Lepisosteus oculatus: one gene and its partners. The main gene of each other region encodes a partner of the protein of the gene in region 2 in a complex. Links are inferred from orthologs where the notes say so. Each region holds a gene or a part of one and is shown on either strand. Other genes may lie near its edges.

Region 1 (7,422 bases), on a different chromosome or scaffold from region 2:
TTTTGTTCTGTGCAACACTGGCATAGCAACACTTCCTTGACTAAAATATCAGAGAACACTGTTACTTTGGTGGAAAATTTAGACACTCCTTGTAATATATTCAACAACGTACATTCAACAGAAAATCTCAATCTCTAATTTTGTGAAAATGATTTGGACATCTAATCAGGGATTTTACATAAACCGAATTAGATAAGCACAAAATATTATCTTAAAGTATTTCATTTTTTAATAACCGTCATGAAAAGTTACTTTTAATGTATACCATTGGGGGGTACTGTACATTTTACTTGATTTCTGCATATAAGGTTAAAATGAAGTGTAAAAATATAAGTGTAAAAATAATTGCTAAATATATCTATAGGTATATTTAGGTAATTTAGGTATAATATAGGTAATTTAATCACCTTTTTTTTTCATTTACCACACCAAACCCTAAACAGTGTTTACAGCCATCCACTAACTGATCAATTTATATACTGTTTTGATTAACATTTGAATCAACACACCTTTTGTGCCTTTTCACCTTAAATATTTATTCCATGAACCACTCATGGTTGCAAACCTCTAAATTTCAGTTGTTTGGAAATTAACAAAAACATCCAATATACATTTTTAGGGCAATGCAATAGAGTAATAAACTACCACTTAACTTCGGAACTTTAACATCATTGTCATTAAAAACTTGAAGTTAAACTGAAAGATATGGAGAAATTGATTTAACAACTTGGGCACTTGGGGTAGATGAGAGATCGGAGAGGTACCCTATTGTTCTCAGCGTCTGACATTATATTAATTAAGTTGGAAATCCATCTGTTGTCCAAATTATTTCTCAAGCAGCAACTCAAGTTAAAAAACAGGTGTCCACAAATCCATAGCTTTACGGATCCCTCTTGAGTTGCCAACCTCTAAAAACGAACAATTATTTTTCAGTACGTTCTTCAATTTAGTATATTCAAAGTTAGTCACTCTTAACTTAAACTCAGCAGTGTAACAGAAGTTTGTTAAGTTAAGCAAAGTTTAACAGTTTAAGTTGTTAAGCAAAAGATCATCAAGGATCACTAAAGACTATAATTTATACATTTTCTTCATTTCAAGCCACTTTACAGTTTAATTCAATGTTCAAACACATCTGATGCCAAGAAGGAGTTATTTTCCCCATACATTTTATATTTATAACTTATGTTCACATACCTATATTTAATTAAACATATTAAAACCAATATTTAAAATTGTTCCGGGGTCAGTTAAAATCAAACCTTTGTCTGAAAATGTTTTGAAATGTAATGCGATACAGAATCTCTTGGCATTTAAATCTTATCATTCAGGAGTATAATTACTTAATCATAAAAATCCAAACACACACAATCACCTAAATAAATACCTTACCACCTTGTATTCTTCACAGATAAAAATGTCACTGCATAATATATGGCATTTAAAAAAAGTACATGAAACAAAAATTGATGCCATAAATGAAAACAATAAATCTATGAAAACATTTCAATGAAAGTATTTTTAATCAAGTGAATGCCCAACAGGGTTTTTGGCATGGCTTTTATGTTATAAAAAAAACAAAGTTATGCAATTTAAAATGAATTATCTCATAAAAATAAGGATCATTAGCTTACAGGATAATTAATGTCATTATGGAAAGAGTCATTAAAATCTGATGGATTCTAATGAACAGAAATATTTTAAAATAGGAGATACAAAAGCAATTGTAAATATATATTAAATAAAGACTGGATGGAAAGTATGCACAAAAATGAGCTGGATTCTTTTTCACAGTTGATGGTGATTATTCCCTTACAAAATTAAACAAAACATTCAAATGGAATCTTTCACTACACCTCAAATGAAAGGTCTGTTTTATTTTTTATTTATGATTCATTTTCAAAAGTTTTTGTTTTAGCCTATGAAAAATGTTATTTATAAAAAATGCTTATTTAAAATAAAATATACATACAAAAGCATTCACACCATACCTTTTACCACTATAGATTTCTTTTATCAAACACCCGTTATAGATATTAAAGCTGCATTGGTACAGAAAGCATGCAGAATTCACAGATGCAGAAATGCTCATTGCAGAAAGGAATAAAGAAAGCACTGGTGGCTAATGCAAGTCTCAGGGTGTGTATAGTTTTTCTGTGAGTGACAATGAAATGGGAATAAAAGTGCAAGTGAGCCTTTAGGGAATCCTATTTGAAATGCAAGTTGATATAGGAGCTGCCAGAAACACTTTACTTTAAATGTTTAGCACACCTGCGTTTCAGAGTAGACATCTTTATAGCTGAGAATAAATTTGGGAGAGAAAATTACTCTAGTTGGGAAGCTTGGTGTGCCAGTATTTTATAATCCGATTTGCTTTAGTTTATTGGTTGAAAAAGGAAACAATCCAATATTAGAACACAAGGAGTCCATTCTGCCCATCTATATCAAGTCCAGATCTAGAGAAATTCGTAGTTAAATGATCGGCCAGTTGTTTCTTGAAAGAAGCCAGAGTATGGTCTTTAACAACATGGAGCTTCTTCCATAATCCCATCAGCCTTTGCCAGAAAGAGTCAGGTTAACGCCCATTCATTTAGACTGGGAGTAAAATACCTGATGACAGTAGAACACACCCTGGAGAAATGTAAGATGGAGTATGTTTTTAGTCAGACTGCAATCCCACTTTTACAAGGCAAAGCGTTTACCATACGCCCTGAGAAAAGTCCCCGATGCAGTAATGCTAAAAGCAGAGGTATCATTGCAGAACTGCAGATGTTATAAAATCACAGTGGGTTGCTGTATGGAAGCACACGCTTACCCACTTCCTAAAGTGAAGGAGCTGTTTGCCAAAGTAGTGGGTTTTCTCACAGACACTAACAACTGAAAGATGTTTCCAAGTGTCTGGGTGTAAGTACGTCAGGGTTTATACAATTGTAACTGTGCAATATAGCAATCCAATTGTTCCAGCCATTTTTCAGTCTGTAATATACTAGTTTCTGAAGCTACTGGAGCATGTGACTTGTTTCTTACACCTCATTGATTATATTTCCCTGAACCATGCCAGAGTGGTGCTTAGGCTGCAGGGTGATGAAAGTGTTTCTGCGTGTCCCTGCAAAAACTGTTCAACAACGGTTAACAAAATGATGTGATAGATGGTAAAAACTATCATCTTGAAATCATAGACCAATGAGATTTTAAGTTAAGTTTTGTCTATTCCCAATGGTTTCCAATTTAAATTTACATCGGAAATGTACAGAAGAAGACAGAAAAGAAATAGAAAGCCAGATGTAGGAGATTTCTATGGTCTGTCAGGTGACAAAGGATAGCAAGTTGAAAGGCATGGTTTCTTCACCTTAATCGTTTTTTCTATTTTTGCAATGTTTCAAAGAATAAGTACTGTAATTGTAGGTCAGCAGCATCATGTTGTCTGGCAAGAAACACATGTCTTCCTACTGATGAGATAGTATGTGATAGCTGACTATAAACCTTCAAACAGATCTTCTGAGTTATACTAATCAAAAACGGAACTCAATTAACTGGAATTGACTGAACAATGATTTGAACTACATGTAGAAAAGCTTCTGACACTATAGAATAAATAAAACTATATTCAAAAAATAAAAATAAAAAATAAAACTAGTTTGCCCCCTTTAAATTGTTGCAGATGTTTTGCGAGTCAAGGAGGGGGGGAGTCATTGTATTTGTATTTGGAATAGTATTTACAATACACAAACACATATAACAATGTATACTCAAGAAAAAGAATAGAACGTTTTTGGTCTTGCAAGAATTCAGTAGTTCATATATTATTGAATTAGAACTATAACAGTCATTCGGTTATTCTGGTAGCATTCGGGACATCGAAGAATTACTTAATAATAATAATTAATCATAATTGCTTACACTTATATAGCGCTTTTCTGGACACTCCACTCAAAGCACTTTACAGGTAATGGGGACGCCCCTCCACCACCAATGTGCAGCATCCACCTGGATGATGCGACGGCAGCCATAGTGCGCCAGAACGCTCACCACACATCAGCTATCATTATTTGATATTATTTGACTTGTGTTCCATTAATAAAAAATGAATTAATAGAACATACACGTTTCATAATGTACTATTAGCCTAGAAAACATTTACCAGTCAAAGCAATTTACCAAATGTGATCTTTGCTAAACTGACAGACACGATGCTAAACAAACTGGCATATCAGTCTTGGTCTGGACACCCTCCAACTCGTGCAGTAAGTCCTCCACGCCGCCGCGTTTTCCCGGTTTCCGAGAGCTGCTCTCGAGGGGGTGGTGTATTTGCTAAATTTTTCCTCTCCCCCCAAGAAGATCCGGTGCACTGACGTGGCCACAGGGAGCCGCCATCTTGTGGGAACGCCTTGAAGAGGAAGCGAGCGGTGCTGTGTGGTGGTAAGGTGGATGGTGAATTTACTTAATTTTTAATGGTATGACATGAAAAATCCCATATATTACATACGTTTGAGAGCACAAGCCAGCTGAAACTCGGGAGAAGTACGTGGGCGGGCAGTCGCAAGGTTTCAAATTTGACAGTAACACCGGGCCGGTTTTCAGGACGGACGCGATAAGGAGAAAACGGCCGATTGGCCTTTTCTTCTCAAGGTGTTTTACGGCTGTCTTGCTGTGATAATGCTCACAGTAACATGGTACGGAACAACAAAAATGCGTTTTTCCCAGGAAACAATCCCGGCTGGATTCAACTGTAAAACTGAAATCGGCCGAAGTTATTGCAACTGTTTTCCTTGTGAGACGATGTCCATGGTCATTAGGCCCGAGTCTCCTCGGCTGCCTCCTCTGTGTTTTCAGGAAAATGTAGTGTTTGTGACTGTAATAATGATCTTCAAATTGGATGCATGTAAAGTGCATTGGAGGGGGATTTAGCAGTTTAGTAATGGGTTTGGGGAAGCCGCGTAATTTGCAGCCGTTGTGTTAAGACGGTCCTGTTCCTTTGTGGGACTGCGGAACGTCAGCACGCGGAACCGGAACCTTGGTGAGCCCTTGGAGGCAGCGCGAGCGCTGGGCAGTGCAGGAGGCTAGCAAGCCCGACTCCTGGCCCAGCATCGCAAAACCATCGTTTCGTTCTCTACAGGCTACAGTCGTGGTTGTTCCTATCGCATTGCCTTCCCCTGGCTAAAATAAGCTTCAGGCAAGTCAAGATCTCAGCATAGAAACCTGGGCGCGGTTTTGAAATAACGTATTTTGCTTATCACTGATCATTTGCCAGTACTATTAAGTTACCGCCAGCGTTCTTCCATTTCCATTGAAGTCTTTTTTTTATTTTTCAGAGTCCCCCCCCCCACACACACACACAGAGTGGAACATTCCGTGATCACTTTCAAAGGCCTAGCAATTTGAGAGTGTGAACAATATGCTAGCTGTTTTATTTCCTTAATAGGATGACAATAGCAAATAAGCGTGTGAGAGGTTTAAAATGAAGTCTTTCGGCTTATCTAGCCTGTACATATGTTAGGAGTTCATTGGAGGATCTCATCCAGCTGTTTCTTAAAAGAAGCCAAGGCAGCAGCTGTAACAACATAGCTCGCTACCTTGTCCCACCACTATTTGTGTGAAGACGTGCCTCCTTTCCTTAGTGCACTTTCCCTAAGACATCTTCAGACCTGACACCACGTTAATTTCTTCCATGCCCTAACTTGTTGAGGTGTTTTTTCCTTGTGCAGCTATGTGGAGCTGTGTTGAAACATCTGAAATGACCTCACTGTTAGGTGGGTGGTTATTTCAGCTAACTGATTTTTACCATCATTGGGGAATGCAAATGCCCTCACCCACAGCTGTACCATCTTCACATGAAAGTATAGTCCTTAACATGGAGAGATGTTTAGCTGGAAATAATTGAATTAACATTTCAAGTTGTTTAGCCTACTTCATACAGTCCATGGGGTATATTCAACTTTTTTGCTATAAACCTTTTTTTGACGGTGTATTTTTGGGTAGCTTGTCAATGAATTAATTTAATAGCCTCCATTTTTTAAGCTTTTGTAGGATGCACAATCTTCTGATTGCTTGTAAAATGCTGTCAACTTGTCAGTTCAGAAAAATATATTGGGAAGAGGTGCAAGACCAGGACACCCCACAAGCTTCCGACATCTTGTTTTATCACTTGAATTCCATGCTATAAAAAAAATCTGACATTTTGGTCTACATCTACCTAAACGTAGCACTGGGCTGTATAGCCGGCCATGAAGCATTCTTCATAACAAACCAGTTATAACTCGCAGACATCTGTGTTGCATAACTGAAAAAGCAGAATTTCTGTGGGGTAACATCACTAAACAAGTTATCTAGTTTTTAGTTCTACTTATCTGATATTTATTTCTTAAACAAGACATAGGGGTATTTTACTCTTGTGCTAGAGCTGGAGTTGGCAATAAAAGGCCCCTTTTGGAATGTGAATTAAGGAAATGTAACAACTACAAGAAGACCTGTGAAAGAGGGGTGATTGAATTAATCCTGTGATCAGTGAGTTGTTCAGAATCCAACACTGTCTAGTATGTATGGATGTGCAGAATTTATTCATGCAGTAATAAGCACATCATTTGCCATCAACAGTTCCTGATAGTATATGTTATTTTTTTGTTTTTACAAGGTGGCAAAAAACCTAAAAGTGTGTTTTTCAGATGCTTTCATCCATACTGTGGAAATACTGGTGGTCTTGAAAAAGTAAACTCTTGATGGAACACAATACTTAATGCAGAAATATTTTTCCCTTTGTAGCTTGCATTCATTATCATTATCATTAATTAGTCAGATATAGTATGCCATAAGAAAATAACAGTCATGGTCTCAGTATACATACGTGTACAATGCTGCTTTTGTATACTATTACTTTTGATAAGTATACTAGTATAAATAGTATACGGGGCAGAGCGGTGGCTCTGTGGCTAAGGATCTGCGCCTGTGACTGGAAGGTTGCCGGTTCAAATCCCGTGGCCGGCAGAGGAATCCTACTCCGTTGGGCCCCTGAGCAAGGCCCTTAACCCTAACTGCTCCAGGGGCGCTCTGACCCCAAGCTTCTCTCCCTGTGTCTGTGTGTCTGTGTCTCCATGGAGAAAAGCTGGGGTATGCGAAAAGACAAATTCCTAATGCAAGAAATTGTATAGGGCTAATAAAGAAACATTATTATACATTACATTATTATAAATGTTTCATTATTAGGAATGCTTTGTTTTTGCCATTTTATTCCATAATTGTCTCTGAAGTTTCCTTAGATAGATAGATAAGCATTCTTGGTTTTAGGTCCAAGTGAAAACTCTTTAGACACATTTCCCTCAGTACAATTGTAACCAGGCTGGATTATGCTACTGTTGCTTCTGCTTACAGTGGAATTCTTGTGGAACATGGTTAGAACAACTTTGTCAGCTTCTGCTTTTGTGTGTATGT
Region 2 (7,321 bases):
AGATGTTTAAAAATTGGCTCTGTCTTTCAAAGGAAAAAACAGGCTTATTCACACCACATTTTACAGTATAGGCAGACCCTCAGTGCACAGCAGTCTCATCCACTCCAGATTGTGGTGTTACCAGACACCCAGGGCACAGCAGTCTGATCCACTCCAGGTTTTAGCATTGTCACACTTGGATTAGAAGGGCTGATCAGTCGTCAGAGCCTGCAGCCTCTGTTTTAGCCACTGTCACAGGGGAGATGTGTGCTGTTAATACTGTCATGTGTCTCCAGTCATGAGACTGACAGGGAGACAGAAGAGTGTGAGAAAGGGAGAGCGAGTGATAACTGCTGGACAGGACAGTCTGACCAGGACACTGCTCTGTGGTTTTAGACTACAGGACAGTGCATGATATAAACTGCACAGACAGGGCACATATATACTGCCAGCAGCCATATCACCCTTCAACTCACAACTGGCAACCCACTGAAGCTAAGCAGGTGTGAGCCTGGTCAGTACCTGAATGGGAGACCTCCTGGGAAAAACTAAGGCTGCTGCTGGAAGAGGTGTTAGTGTGACCAGCAGGGGGCGCTCACCCTGCAGTCCATGTGGGTCTTAATGCCCCAGTATAGTGACAGGGACACTATAGTGGGGCACTATACTGTAAAAAGGCACTGTCCTTCGAATGAGAAGTAAAACCAAGGTCCTGACTCTCTATGGTCTTTAAAAATCCCAGTGTGTTTCTCCAAAAGAGTAGGGGTGTAACCCGGGTTGTCCTGGCCAAATTTCCCCCAGACCTTTACTAATCATGGCCTCAGTTCTCTGAACTATCTTCATCACTCTGATCTCCTCCCCACTGAGAGCTGGTGTGTGAGGAGCGTTCTGGCGCATCATCCAGGTGGGGCTGCACATTGGTGGGTGTGGAGCGATCCCAATTACCTGTAAAGCGCTTTGAGTGGAGTGTCCAGAAAAGCGCTATATAAGTGTAAGCAATTATTATCATTATAATTATTATATTTCGCTATGATGCCACAGAAGAACAAAGAAAAGGAATTTCAGACCAGAAGCTCAGTTAACCGAGTTCCCTGTCCTCCCCCTGTCCACAGGAGTGCCGATCGTAGTTACAGTTCTACCCAACAGCCATAAATATTTCAGCGTCTCCACGGTAACAGACACGCGATCCCCCTGCCCAGAGCTCAGGTGATGCGCGGTCCTCCTCACCTGGGGAGCACAGCCAGCCTGCACGGATCGCTGGCCCACGAGCCGCCCTGTACTGCCCCCCTCGTGTGGCTGGTGCACAGGACAGCTAGAGGAGCTGGACAAGCCCGACACCTCCTCCAGAGTAACAGCAGTCCCTGGACAACTGCACGGGCACCAATATGGGACCTGTCGGCTTCCCTCAGCACTCAGCTGCTTGTCCTCTAACAAACCAGGATTGTATCTCAGCACACCACAGCCTGGTGACATCTTTCGCCAGTCCGGGAACCCGAGTCTGAGTCTCCACTCTCAAACAGGCCATGTTGTGAGGGAACAGGCCAGGCAGTGATGGAACAGCTGTCAGAACACATAACCTCACAGTATCACTGACCCCGTTAATCGATTAAACAGTTACGTTAACCGTTAGATGATCCTAGTCCACTACACTGCAGAGCGTTGCCAAGAGCACCCAGACACACCCAGACCCCGGCTATACTCAAGACACTGGCTGAGAACGAACTCCAGTGAAGAAAGAAGCCAGAGAACACAGCGCCCAGACACTGGCAGGACCAACACACTCAGCCGCTGGGGGTTCAGAGCTGGAGTTTGGGGGTGACTGAAGAGGGGTTTGGGGTATGCGAGGGGCAGATCAGATATTTTAGCATAAGTGTGGGTGGATTGCCAACATCTGGGGTGTACATCCTCCATAGGATTCACAGTGCTTAACAAAGGTATTCAAGAATCCAGATCTATAGTGGTACACACACAGTACTGACAGTGGCACAGCACCAGGCACAGACAGTGACACACAGGGACAGAGGGTGTCACAGCATCAGGGTCAGAGAGTGACACACAGGGACAGAGAGTGTCACAGCATCAGGGTCAGAGAGTGACACACAGGGACAGAGAGTGTCACAGCATCAGGGTCAGAGAGTGACACACAGGGACAGACAGCATCACAGAGGGAAAGGATCAGAGAGTGACACACAGGAACGGAGTGTCAGAGAGTGACACAACACATCAGTGTCCGTGACACACAGGGACAGACAGCATCACAGAGGGAAAGGATCAGAGAGTGACACACAGGAACAGAGTGTCAGAGAGTGACACACTGCATCAGGGTCAGTGAATGAATGGGGACCAGGCTGAAGAACAGGTACATAGAGACCCCCGGACCGCCCAGTAGAGGAACAGAGGGGAGCTGCACGGCTGTCCCGGAAAGGCCCTGCAACAGACTCCCAGGACCGGTATTGCTCTTATTCTTGAATATACATGGCTGGCCGACACAGGAGGCTGAGTGTGGGAACGCGTACTGCCATGACGACTACAGCTCCGTCAGTGCCGAACCAGGTGCTGCCGTACCTCCCTGCCTCACCTCTCCCACCAGCGCAGCCCCACCCCGCCGGGCCGGTCGCTCACCCCGGCCCCTGCCCGTCCAGAACCGGGCCCGGAGCGGGGTACGCCCCGACACGCCAGCAGCTGTTAACGCAAAGCAGACGCGTCCTGCACTCGGACCTGTACCGAACCCCGCAGCCCGGCCTACCTCATCCTCCTTGTGATTCCTGATGCCGCGTACGAGGTCCTGGAGGTTTTTATCAAACATCCTATCGATGCTCCCTTTCACCATCTTCAGAGCCATAGCTGCAGCTCCGGGTTTCTTTCTGCGGACAGAGAAAGAGCGGCGAGGTCAGGGGGTAGGAGGACCAAGACAGGCCCGCTGGCTCGTTCACCCAGCCGAAAGAAAAGCTCCCCCAGCGGGCTGAATCTGAGCTCTGGTCCGGGAGAAAGGAGCCACGGCTCAGCTGTACGGTCCCAGGGAGTCTGGCTGCAGACCCAGGGAGAAAATGGCTGACAAAATGGCGGCGGGTCAGCTGACTGGCTGACTGCGTGTGTGCCGCGGGGGGGCTGCGGGGCCCGGCACCTCGGCGCAGTTCCGCCTCCGGCCGCTAGTGGGAGCAGCGCGCAGCCGAGTCCTAACTCAGTCCCTGTCGCTGTCTCCCGGCGGTGGGGGGGCAGTTATTTTGCGGCCGATTCCAACACAACAGTACTACATAACCGTCATCATCAAATAGGTCAGGACACGCAATATTTCCAGAAATGAAGTTTTACATTATTCATGGATGAATTAAACGATTTCCTCAATATATTTTCCGCTACAGCTCTGTCGGAGAAGCGCTTCCCGGCTGGCCCAGTGGAGGGGCTGTGCCTCGCGCTCCTTAATGCCTGTGAGAGCCCTTGGCACGCAAGCTCAATACTACTACTGCTAATAATAATCACCTTTATTACATTGCACCTTTAAAAATATCTTATTTGAGTGCTTTACGGGAAAAGTAAAAAAAAACAGTTAAAAGACGAAAACAATAACGGAAGAGAAATTGAGAAACACGAGATCCCAGCAGATGAAAGGAGCAGACACAGACATTAAATAAAAGCCTTTCTGATAACCGTGTACGTTTCAATCTTGCTGCCTGCGTTTACTGTTTTCCCCATCCTGTTATAATTAATTTAATAATATGCAATAAGCTACAGTTCATAAGACGCTTCAATTAAAGATGTATGCAACAATCTTAATGACCTCAGAACTAAACCTCGGTTCATGCAGACACAAACAAGACAAGGTCATTGGGCCTGTCGTGTCCCTCCAGCTGCTCAGCAGGTGTTTCACAGATGTTTCTTGAAAGAAGCCAGGGCACCAGCTTCAACAACATGGATGTTCCACACCCCCACAACCCTTTGCGTAAGGCAGTGCCTCGACTATTTAGTTTTAAGTGCACTTTCACATAGTTTCCACTGGCATGCTCTGGTTTGTATCCCACTGGGGGGTCTCTATAAGGGCCCTGGGCTGACTCAGCACCTTTGCAGATTTTGAATACAGAGAAGACTCTCCTGTGTTAGTATCTGCCAGTTTGACAGAACCAGAATCGAGATCACAGACCTGGGTGCCGGCAATAAACCTTTACTCGTTCCTCTGCACCCTGCGCATGCCGACACAGCTCCCTGCTTGAGCTACAGCTATAGAGGAGGAGCAGTGGTCCGGGTACAGACCCTGTGGAGCAGGGGCTGGTGTCACTGGAGTGTCCACACAGCGGCCGGGGTTTCTGTTGGTGTGGTTGTGATTCCGTTTTGTGTCCCATTCCCTGTGCTTTAAATGTCTTCCTGCCATCCATATTGTTTACACTACATAGCGCTTTTCTGGACACTCCACTCAAAGCGCTTTACAGGTAATGGGGATCCCCTCCACCACCACCCGTGTGTAGCTCCACCTGGATGATGCAACAGCAGCCATAGTGCGCCAGAACGCTCCCCACACATCAGCTATCAGTGGGGAGGAGAGCAGAGTGATGGAGCCAATTCATAGATAAGGTAGATAGAACTCTCCTTACACTTTTCTACAAATCCTTCATTGAAAGTGTCTTAACATGCTGCTTCGCTTGTTGGTTTTTATCAACATGAGTACCAACAACTGTAACATGCTGGTAAATCAGTGAAAATAAGTGTCAAAATAATCGGGAATAATCAAATCAACTTTAGCATCCTTTACAGAGGGTGACTAAGAAAGCCAGAAGCATCAGGGAGCGTGTGTCTCAACCCCTCCATTGTGAATTCACACTTCTCCCATCTGGGAGACGCCTCTGTGCCCCCAGGTGTAAAACCCAGACTCAGGAAATCTTTCATCCCCACTGCAATCACACTCTTCAATAGTGCAGTCACTACCTTGTCTCTTTTTTCTTTTCTCCTGTAACACTTCTGTATTCTCTTCCCTTTTGAGGATGTGTATTTGTCATTGTGTTGTGTTTGACTGTGCCATAAGACACATTACCCCCAGGGGACAATAAAGCTTGAATTGAATTCCCAGTGCACCTTCCAGTCCGGGAGCCCAGGCCCGAGAGGGATCTGGGGGCTCCAGCCAGTCCAGAGATGTCGCGCTCCTGCCCTCTCCTTGCCCACAGCCAGGCCAGGGGCAGTGTGGTGGGGACACTGCTGGGACCCGAGCAGGTTAAGGACACAATCAGGGTGAAGAGCCAAAGGGGCTCTGGAATGGGGAGATTAAAGAGGGGGTGCAGGCAGTCTAGATGTCACGTCTTAAACTGCGCTGCTATTTTTATATTTCGGGGGTTAGAGATTGGCGAGTGCATTTCAAACCACAATGAAAGTAAGAGTTACTGTATACATCACAAAGTTCTTGATTAAGTCCAAATCTGTCAGTTTTTCTATAAGGAATGAATTACTGAGATTTAATAACTGGTCTGAGAACCTGGGACTGCAGTTCCCCCTTACCAGCTGTAATTCTTCACAGATCTGTAGAAGGCGCCTGTCTGACAGGCTTGCAGGAGCACTGCGCTGCGGCATTTAAAACTGCACTGAGAGGCCCAGAACCGCAGCTAACAGTCCCCTGCTGAATTCAAACTGAAGATACACACACAAAATATTCATTCAGAATTTTATTTTTCAGAATTGGATTTTAAAAACTAACCAAAAAAAAAACCTGGCTTCTAAACAACAATGAAGCAAAACAATCCATTATGTTCCACATCTTAAAATTTTTTAGCCACGCCAATATTAAAAGCAACTATAATAAATTAAAGAGAAATAAAAAGAAAACTATAAAAAAAAAACAAACATGCTTACATTGTTTGGTTAAAAAAAAAATAGAAAAAAGGTTGTGTGTCAACAACACCTGAGTGAAGTCAGACTGGCTTTAAATCTCGTTTACACACACCTGCTAGAAAACAGAAATAAAGGTCATCATTTACAATGGGCTCAACCAAGGTAACTTAACCCCCCACCCCCAACTCCTGTTACCACCTCAGGACCTCCAGTCCACCAGGGGGCTCCACCTCCAGGCCCACAGCACACCGGTCCATCAATCTGGACCCAGTGAAAATGGAAAGCCTAGAGCACCAGGGCTGGAGGAGTGGGGGCACTCTGGGACACCCGCAAACAGAGGCAATTGTAGGGGGCAACAGATCCCCCAAAATCTGCACTTATCTCAGGTCTGCTCTAACCCCTCCACCCCACTCAGCTTACTCGATACAGAAGACCTGGGGCTGCCTGTGAACGCAGGCCCACGCACACCCCTCTTCTCCCCGGTGTGTGGCGAGACAGCGGGTACAGAGCCAGCTTGTACCCCAACATCCGCAGGACTGCACTCCTGTGCAACGTGTGCTGCATTTCTCCCTCTGGAAAACCAGTTCTCTCTCTTTCATTCAAGCTTTTCTGTGCAGTTTCTTCACACCTATTTCGTCCTCAGCCTAACTGGTGCCTTATAAACCTACAACAAATCAAGAGCCAACTGTGCTCTGAAGCCCCAGGTCTTTTAAAAGCAGCAACGTAAGAAAATGTAGAAAATATATAGTTGGTAAAATAGAAACTTTTCAGTCGGCCTTCTCCTCCAGGGCAGACCTGGAGCCCGGCAGTAAGGCTGAGACAGGCGTCTGCCCTCACTCTGCTGCCCAGAGGTAGACAATCAGCTTTAATTTTTTGAATAATTGTAATTATAACAATTTCAATATTTACGAGCACTGCCTGCAGTGACCTCGCCTCAAAACAATTCTGACAACTGTTCACAACAGTTTTCATTCCTTCCAAAAAATGTACAAATTGGTCAAAAATTATTCAGTCATGTCTTCTGAATGTTCAATTTTGTAAGGTCCCTGGAATATTTTTAAACTTTATATTTAACACAATCCAACAGTAGCAATGAAAGCAGATACTTATTTTTACATAGAGACACACTGGATCCTGACCCAGACGAGGAGCCTGAGCCTGTACAACTACACACACACGCACACGACACGCCCAGGACCCAGCCACACACACCTCCCGCCCGGATTTGGGGTCACCCAAATCTGTCAGGGTCACCTCAGGATTTAGATCTTAGCGGGTAAGAAAGTAAAAACCCACTTAAAATCAGCCACAGACGAAAGTCTGTCTTTCATAACTTCTTGGAAGGACCCAGGCCACTATCTGCAGATGTGTAACCAGAAGCCCCCAGTGGGGCGTGACCCTGCCTGTGAGAGGGCAGGTCAAGTGGTCCGCTGTCCCTGTTGAACTGCAGACAAGTGGAGCCTTACAGGTACGCTGCTCGCAGGTTCAAACGTGCAGACACCCGAGTCTTAGAGACAGTGCATTAGTGCCTCTC
Region 3 (7,668 bases), on a different chromosome or scaffold from region 2:
ACAGTGTCAGGAGGCCAGACTCCATCTTTCAGCTTTCTTTTTGTTCATTCTGTAACAATCTGCCACTCATCTACTATCGAGAAGTCACCTCTGTCACGGTGTCCGAATTCCTATAATTTAAATCACCTGATTCCTGCATTCTCCCTTTCCTTTCCTAAGATTACCACACAAATTAACACATCTAATGAAGGAACATCATTTAAAAGCAGCGACCATACAAACTACAGTTCTTACACAATAAACCACACCTCTTACATAACATATGAATTAATTTTAAACCACAAAAACAGGCTACGGGTTTTAAACTCAAATGATTTACTTCACATACACGTAACACTTAGCCTCCCTCCTTCACCATTTTTAAATAGTTTGACTCAGGATTCAGTAATAGTCAACTATCCAACAGTTATATTTTGTGTAGGACAGTAAGGTCTGGCAACACACCATCAACATAAAGTATCCCCAAGCATTATTGCATAAGCATAAATTACAGCTGAAGTAGTACACTGAAATGGCACAGGAAAAGAGGAGAACATTGTCCCTGATTTGCTAGTCTGGTCCAAAAAAACTAAGATGCATCTGTAAGTACTTTCTGTAAATTTTCAATACCCACAGTCCGGGTTTTTCATGAGCTAACATAAAAAATGTACAGGATGTCGGACGTATTACATCATTTTTTTATTTTTGGGCTTCATTCATATAGTAGGAAACTGGGCACAAATTTTGTCCCATGTTAAAATACTTTTTATTATCAGTTTATCTTCTTCTCAGTGGCTTACATTTAAAATAACTCTACAGGATAATCCTTCGGCACTTCTGAACACTAATTTCCTGTGAATGTAGTATCTCATTACGTTATTAACGTAAGATGGGTGTGCATACGTTTCACGCTGCCTGCATCACATGGAAGAGAAAAAAAGCACCACATGATTTTGGTGATGCTGACAAGATTAACACTGAATGTCAGCTGATGTAATCTGCAGATCTACTCCCTAAAACAAATACCTATTTATTCATGTTAAACATTATAAAAAATGTTAAGTGTATCTAATAACTGAAGAAAAAAAATGTTTGCATTTCTGTACTGAACTGTGCAACAAGGAACTCCGACACTAGAGTCAAGAATTTACTAAGTAACCATTCGTTTTGTTTACAAAATACCTAAATGGACAACACGTGTACAGTATATGTTATTTTGTTATTTTAATGTTTATCAATAAATTACAGCAAAAAAAGAACAGATAGTTAAAATTAAAACCTTTGTATTCACAGCTTTTTGTGCCTCTGACATTGAGCTGAAAAGACTTAAAATAGTTACTTCACTGGGGAAATACTTTTGGTAAACTAAATCTTAAAGCATACCTTGTTTAAAAACCTCAACATGCTTGCATGAGTAAATGACACATCACAGAGGCTAAAGCAGCCAAAACAAAATCTTGGTTACTTTAACTCTTTTAATCGGTTTGACTATCAAGGATATATTCCTCAAAGTTCAAACAAATCCTACTTCTAAAATGAATTTGAATGTATTATTGCATTATAAATGGATAATGTATTATAAAATAGATTGTTTTCAAAGATGACTACAATAGCATAAATTGACACAGACAGACTGTATATATTTTCAAACCTTTAGGATTATAGGTGAGATATGCTATACTGTACATCTAATGTAACTGAAAACTTGCCAAAATCATCTGCTTACAATGCATCAACTGTTCCATTTACTGTACTAGCCACTACAATGTTAAATTACAACCACCTGTCTTACTGCAGAGATTGCAAAGCACATCAGAAAGTTTCAAGACTGCATTATGAAAGAAAGAGAAATGTCATTAGAGACTTGCGCTGGGACAGCTGTAGAAGAGACTGACTTCAAACCACATGAATGCTTCACTGCTGCCTTTACAGAGGACAATGCATTGTCCCTTAACACACTATTTGACTGGATCAAGTACAACTTGGCATGCACAATTAAAAAGCTTCATATTTATCTAGTAATTTAGCTATGTGTAGTGAAATAACCATGTACAAATCCATTACTAGATTTACAAAACCACTTTTTTTGTGAAGAAATTACTAAGGCATCTATAGAAATGAAGATTGCACAATTCAGTATTCCCATCCAAAGAAGTCTGCAAAGCTCTCCAAAACAGCTTCAATACAGCAGTTTATATTGGTCAGCATTCTATTTAGAAGCCTATATATATTTTATATGTATAAAGAAGCCAAGTTTATGTGTATATTTAAAGCCAATAGTTGAGACTATTTCAATTTAACAGATAATTTGCTAAATAAATTTAGCCTTTATTTGGAATCAAATCATGTTCCCTGCATCCCTCAGGGGTCTGAAGTCTTTTAACAGATCAGTTGCTTAATTAATCAATAAAGTACATGTGATCTATAAAACTAACTGGATTATTGCTCTCCAGGAGCAAAACAGTATTATTCTAGTGGTGCTCAGAGGCTGACAGCTCCAGATTGTCTTGAATCTGATGGCTTTCATGCTGATAGCATATTCAAATTAACTCGCCAGCACTTAAATTGAACATTTTTTGGAAAATATACCAGTGCAGTATTGAGCTAGAGTGAAATAGAAAAAGGACTGTATCAATAAAATAAAAAAAACAACTCCTAAGCAAAGTGGTTTACTTGATTTGCCAGATACTAATGTAGTTTGTAACAGCGGACAGAAAAAAACACGTACAGTACTGACACAAAAAATGAAAAACATTCCGTTTTCAGCGTGATCATAAGTTTATATTTCTATGTAAAACATTCCCGTCAGGGACTTCATTGAAAACTTCAGCTCCAGTCACACATTGATGACAGTACACACATTCAGCTATACTCACATAGTGTTCGTAAAATTTGGAAAGCCGGGGTTTGCCATGGTTGTTAAATATTAGGATGGCTTTGATCATGGTTTCACCAAAAACGTATCAGAAGCTGCGTTCTGACGGTCAGTCTGAGAACTAGGAGATAACAACTACTCAGATTCCGTTTTATTAAAGACCCAATTCCACCTGAACATCAGCTGCAAATCCTCCCCCGAATCACAAAGCGGAAACATTCCACGTCAAAGCATTCATTCCTCATCGCCGCTACAGAAGCCGAAGAAGGTCAAACTGTGTGGCTGGGCATAAATCTGATCGACACAGACGAGCGATGAATTAGACGTTTATTTTTTTCCAACGTTTATTGAACATCAAATAACACAAACAAAGGAGAAAAGAAATCCCAAAAAAGTTACTTGATTAAAAAAACAGATCAATTTTAGACTATTTTAAATCTGAACACGTTCAGTTAAAAATGTTACATACTGTACATCAATTTGTTTTGACCTTGTTATTTTTTTTAAGTTTTCAACAGTTTAAAAAAATAGACGTTTATGGATTGAAACGTTTAGAAGGAACAACGTCAGAAATATCACCAATTAGGGAAGGCGGTTCTTCCCATCAATCTTACTTGGTTCTATTTCTCTAATCCCACAGCCAATACTGAAATGTCAAACCTAACCAGTGTTTCTAGGAGGTGGGAAGATATCAGAACACCTGTAGAAAACCCACATGAATATGAGTAGAACAAGCAAATACCGTACAGATGGTGCACCAGTCTGGAAGAGAACATAAAATGCTATGAGGCAATAATGATAAAGGCCATGCCAGTATGTTATACTCTGATTAAAATTAATATAGATGATAGCTGTTTTCTTGTGAAAGTAGCCCTGAAACCCTTCAGCATTTGTTTTGCTTATGTCCTATTGTAAAAACCTTCTGGATTGATTTGCAGACTTATTAAAATATTAAAATAAAGGCTAATTTCGATATTATTTTTAAAGAAATAGATGTTATGTTGAACTTCAATCCCATTGGAAATAAAATGAAAATTATGTTTGAAATGGACTTAATTATTATACTGGCATGCTATTATATACATAAAGTGAAATGGTCTGGGAAGAGTATTTTAAAATAGAGATAAGGGTGTATTTGCAGACTGTAATATCAGTGTAATATTTAATATCAAATAAAAATAATAATAACTGTATAAAAATAATAGTTATAAGTTGTTTTGAAATACTGTAAATTAGAATCAAGAATTATAAGAAAAAGTCATATATGAAAGAATTAAATATCCACATGTTCATGTTACATGTTCCACAAAGTATTAGCCTGTTTCTAATCTGAACAAATTTATAATAGGGACATAGGATAAACATTGTGTTTTAGGGGACCATACTTGTAAGATGTCTGGGGGCAAAATCCCATGAAAAAAACAGGTATCCTATTTTTGTGAAATACTGTTGCAAAAAGTTCTACACAGTTTCACCTGTGCACTTTAGGAAAAGGAAGATTCACTAATGCAAAATGAAAAAAATATCCAGTACTTGTTCTCTGGCTATTCAACTCTATTTTACAGGTATTTGATTTAATAAAATGATAAAACACTTTAGAAAAAGGACATCCAAAATATGTTGACATACAAGCTGTTAAAAATTAAACAACTGGAAAGCATAACTTAATTGCTTGCAATGTACACAATTTTTATCTAGTGTAATCAAAAGCATTGTTATAAATATTTAGGATATTTTATAAATATTTAAGATTATAAAAGGGCCTGATCTTATATCATTTCTTATGATTGCAATACATTAGGTATAAAAGTACACTCTGTAATGTTCAGTTCCTTTAAAGAGTCTTGCTTCTTCCCTGGAGTGTTAAATCATAACTACAGTACGTTTCAAAACAGCACTGAAAATAGTAGCTCGATCAGTAGGGCCACTTGAGTCACACTTCAGTCTTACTGGAAGAGGTCCACATCCTCATGACTAGTGAAAAGTATCATTGAGCTAAACTTGTTTAATCAGAAGAATAAGGGGTGTTCCTATTGACTGATCGTCAATGTAAAGGAAGAAAATGTGATTGCGCAGCATGGATATGGATTGATTACATGGAATTTCCATAACCAACTCAAACAAGGACTGATAACACCACAAAATGATAACATACTCCATCCATCCATTTTCTTACTATTGACTGCTAGTGGCCATATCAACCTGCAACTCACAACTGGCAACCCATTGAAGCTAAGCAGGTGTGAGCCTGGTCAGTACATGGTGTTGTTATTGCTTGAGATACAAGCTAACTAAGTTTACTCCATCATAGAGAATTTACTTGCTGTGTTTACTTGCTAAAATGTTGTCATGTGTTCACACTCTCTTTTTGGCACTATTTATGTATTATAACTGTAAAGCAAAACCAGTTTTGTAATAGAAAATTACACTCAGGGATTGTTTTTCTGAATATGACGTAAAGAGAATCAAACACCCAGAAAAGGATCAAACTTCCATGTTTTAAAGTCATGTTTTAAACCTCTTTGTGCAATAAGACTTTTTTCTATACAAGTACAATATCGGAATGCATTTTTAAAAAAGAAATTTCAATATATTTTAGTTATTTTTTAATAACTATAATTACTTTTGTGGGACTTGGGGCAGTTTCAATATCAACCATAATTTCATCACACCCTGTCACAGATATTCTGGCTGTGCTAGGGCCGTTTAGCCAGTAATTCCAGCAATTTAGGGATTTTTCTCTTCAGAAAATGTTTAGCACAGAAATACTTAGCGTGCAAAGTAGAAGAATATAATGACAGTAAGGATTTTTCCTCCAGTTTTAAAGTGGTTGTGTTCGAAGTCAGGGTATTTGAGAAAATTCCGTTTAAGTGAGTATATTTGGGCAGGTAATCATTAAATTAGTTTAATTTAAAACAATCGGGGTTGTGCGTCAAACAACATGGCGACCTCATCCTTGTCTTAATTTCGATCACCCTTTCAAAATCTACGCAGGTTTGAAAAGCTGCTGACGAGAACCGATTTTCTTCTTTTCTCCACTAGATGAGGCTAATAGATTTTAAAATGGTTTATTAAAAGGGAAATAATAGTGGACAATGCGAAACAAGATGACATTGATAATGGGACGAGCCCGTTAAAAGCTAATAAACATCACTTCAAATTCATTTGTTGGAGGTATATATTTTTAAATCGTACTTTCCCAGAGCATTAAGATGTGAAATTCGGGGCATTTGTAATAAAACGAATTTAGTATATCTCTATTGTGTATATTCATGAAATCATGGCGATGAAATTGCGTGTAAAAAAGAGGAGGAGGTTGTTGATAAACTACATGTCCCCCTGTCACATTTTCCTATTTCAAAAACAATTTTAAAATGCATATTTAAGCACCTCCTAAAACTGTTTGTCTTCGAAATGAAAATGCGGGGAATGGGAAAACACTCGAGCCAAAGACCGCAGATTATATGTAATTTTAACCGAGTACAATTTAGAACAGCGATTTTCAATTCAGGCTTTCATTACCCTGTGTCAGCTGATTTTTAAGTTCCATCCTTAACTGAAATTACTAAAAATTGATGGCTTAGAGCTTTATTTCATTGCTAAAAATGCCTTCAATTTGCTCACTATGTTTTACAATATATGTGAAATAAACTTTACTGGCCATTCCAGAACTGAAAATAATTTCAAAGGCATTAACTAGTACATCCACCCACTTTTTAACAGTTTTATCTACAGATAACACGGTCGCAGGGGAGACAGAGCCTACCCGGCAAGCCATGGGCGCAAGGTGGGAAGCATCTTGGACAGGATGCCAGTCCATCGCAGGGCAGACAGAAATGCAAACATGCACACAGCCACATCAGGCCATTTTCCAGAAAAAAAAGTACATTAGTGCTTAAATTTGGGGATTCAATTAAAGACTTAAGAGCTCAAGTAGAAAAACCACCAGCTGCTGAAGTAAAGAGAATCAGAACTAGGAAGGCCTAATGTCTCAAGATTGGTACTTCCCAGTGTAAACAATAAATATGATAAACTGATATATTTTAACCTTTCCTTACCACACTTCAATAATGGTTCCCTTTGCCACCAAATGACTTGCTCTGAAATTCATATGAGTAAGTACAGTTTGTTATAAGCAAGTAGCAAAAGCATACTAAAAATATAAGATGGAAAAACTATTTCAGTGTTTATGTTAAAACGCAATTTTATCTTGTAGACAATGTGTAAAAGAAATAGTAAATGTTAGGATCAGTGTTCTGGAAATTTACTTTTAAAAAGTAATCCATTACAGGTACAGGATACTTGTGTGAAGGATTGTTTTTTAACAAGAAATCGGGGAAAAGTTATTTTAAGAAGTATTGAATTGTTTTACATAGTAATTATTTGCATGTTGCATAGATCTCTAAAACAGGTGACTTTAAAAACTTTCGTATTCCATCCCTTACACAATTAAATGAGTCAGGTCATTTCTTGGCCCAGTCAGCTGGATATTGACATTTCTTCCCCAGTTTGCTGACATGATGACCCTTCCTTTATCCAACCTGATCAGGATAAAAACTTTGCACAAGTTCCCCTGGAGAGCTGATGGCTGCAGTGACATTTCTATTCACACAGTTGCCTTGGGTCTGGTGAAGTCTTTTGGGGAACAATGGCAGGTAAGGAACACCCACCTAGTTATATGTGGAGCTGCAACAAAGAGAGACGCAATACTCAACATTCAAAGTAGAGCACCTACAGAAGCTATTATAAATATAACAATAAATAATCCTTAAAATTATGTAGCGCTTTTCTGGACACTCCACTCAAAGCACTTT

What was found. Proteins that work in one complex are often made in the same cells at the same time.
Region 1: the proteins of ap3d1 (region 2) and arf1 are in contact, whole or in part, in a cryo-EM structure (PDB 9C5B), measured with the Homo sapiens proteins. The link is inferred for Lepisosteus oculatus from reciprocal best matches to the Homo sapiens genes AP3D1 and ARF1. Residues at the interface, in NP_003929.4 of Homo sapiens: Lys48, Asp50, Phe77, Ile80, Glu81, Ser84, Asp107, Met110, Leu111, Thr112, Thr113, Asn114, Gln115, Arg117, Lys118; in NP_001019397.1 of Homo sapiens: Tyr35, Ile46, Pro47, Thr48, Ile49, Gly50, Phe51, Asn52, Val53, Glu54, Trp66, Lys73, Ile74, Leu77, His80, Tyr81, Gln83, Asn84.
Region 3: the proteins of ap3d1 (region 2) and ap3s1 are in contact, whole or in part, in a cryo-EM structure (PDB 9C5C), measured with the Homo sapiens proteins. The link is inferred for Lepisosteus oculatus from reciprocal best matches to the Homo sapiens genes AP3D1 and AP3S1. Residues at the interface, in NP_003929.4 of Homo sapiens: Leu18, Gln19, Val22, Arg26, Cys60, Thr63, Tyr64, Gln66, Met67, Leu68, Gly69, Tyr70, Asp71, Ile72, Ser73, Lys87, Phe88, Thr89, Arg92, Ile93, Leu96, Gln100, His103, Tyr126, Leu132, Thr133, Ser136, Tyr161, Lys164, Lys165; in NP_001275.1 of Homo sapiens: Met1, Lys13, Pro14, Arg15, Leu16, Ser17, Lys18, Phe19, Pro22, Tyr23, Glu25, Asp26, Gln28, Gln29, Arg42, Asp43, Glu44, Asn45, Val46, Cys47, Asn48, Phe49, Ser80, Glu81, Ser82, Glu83, Leu84, Gly85, Leu87, Asp88.

Annotation. Positions count from the first base shown.
Region 1 is NC_090701.1:29,758,666-29,766,087, reverse strand, and holds the start of arf1 (ADP-ribosylation factor 1), read left to right. Parts: upstream 1-4,330; 5' UTR 4,331-4,416; exon of another isoform or gene 4,417-4,451; intron 4,452-7,422. UniProt on the Homo sapiens protein: Small GTPase involved in protein trafficking between different compartments. Modulates vesicle budding and uncoating within the Golgi complex. In its GTP-bound form, triggers the recruitment of coatomer proteins to the Golgi membrane.
Region 2 is NC_090724.1:9,540,382-9,547,702, forward strand, and holds the start of ap3d1 (AP-3 complex subunit delta-1), read right to left. Parts: upstream 3,108-7,321; 5' UTR 2,819-3,107; coding exon 2,723-2,818; intron 1-2,722. UniProt on the Homo sapiens protein: Part of the AP-3 complex, an adaptor-related complex which is not clathrin-associated. The complex is associated with the Golgi region as well as more peripheral structures.
Region 3 is NC_090698.1:54,096,806-54,104,473, forward strand, and holds the start of ap3s1 (AP-3 complex subunit sigma-1), read right to left. Parts: upstream 3,093-7,668; 5' UTR 2,925-3,092; coding exon 2,856-2,924; intron 1-2,855. UniProt on the Homo sapiens protein: Part of the AP-3 complex, an adaptor-related complex which is not clathrin-associated. The complex is associated with the Golgi region as well as more peripheral structures.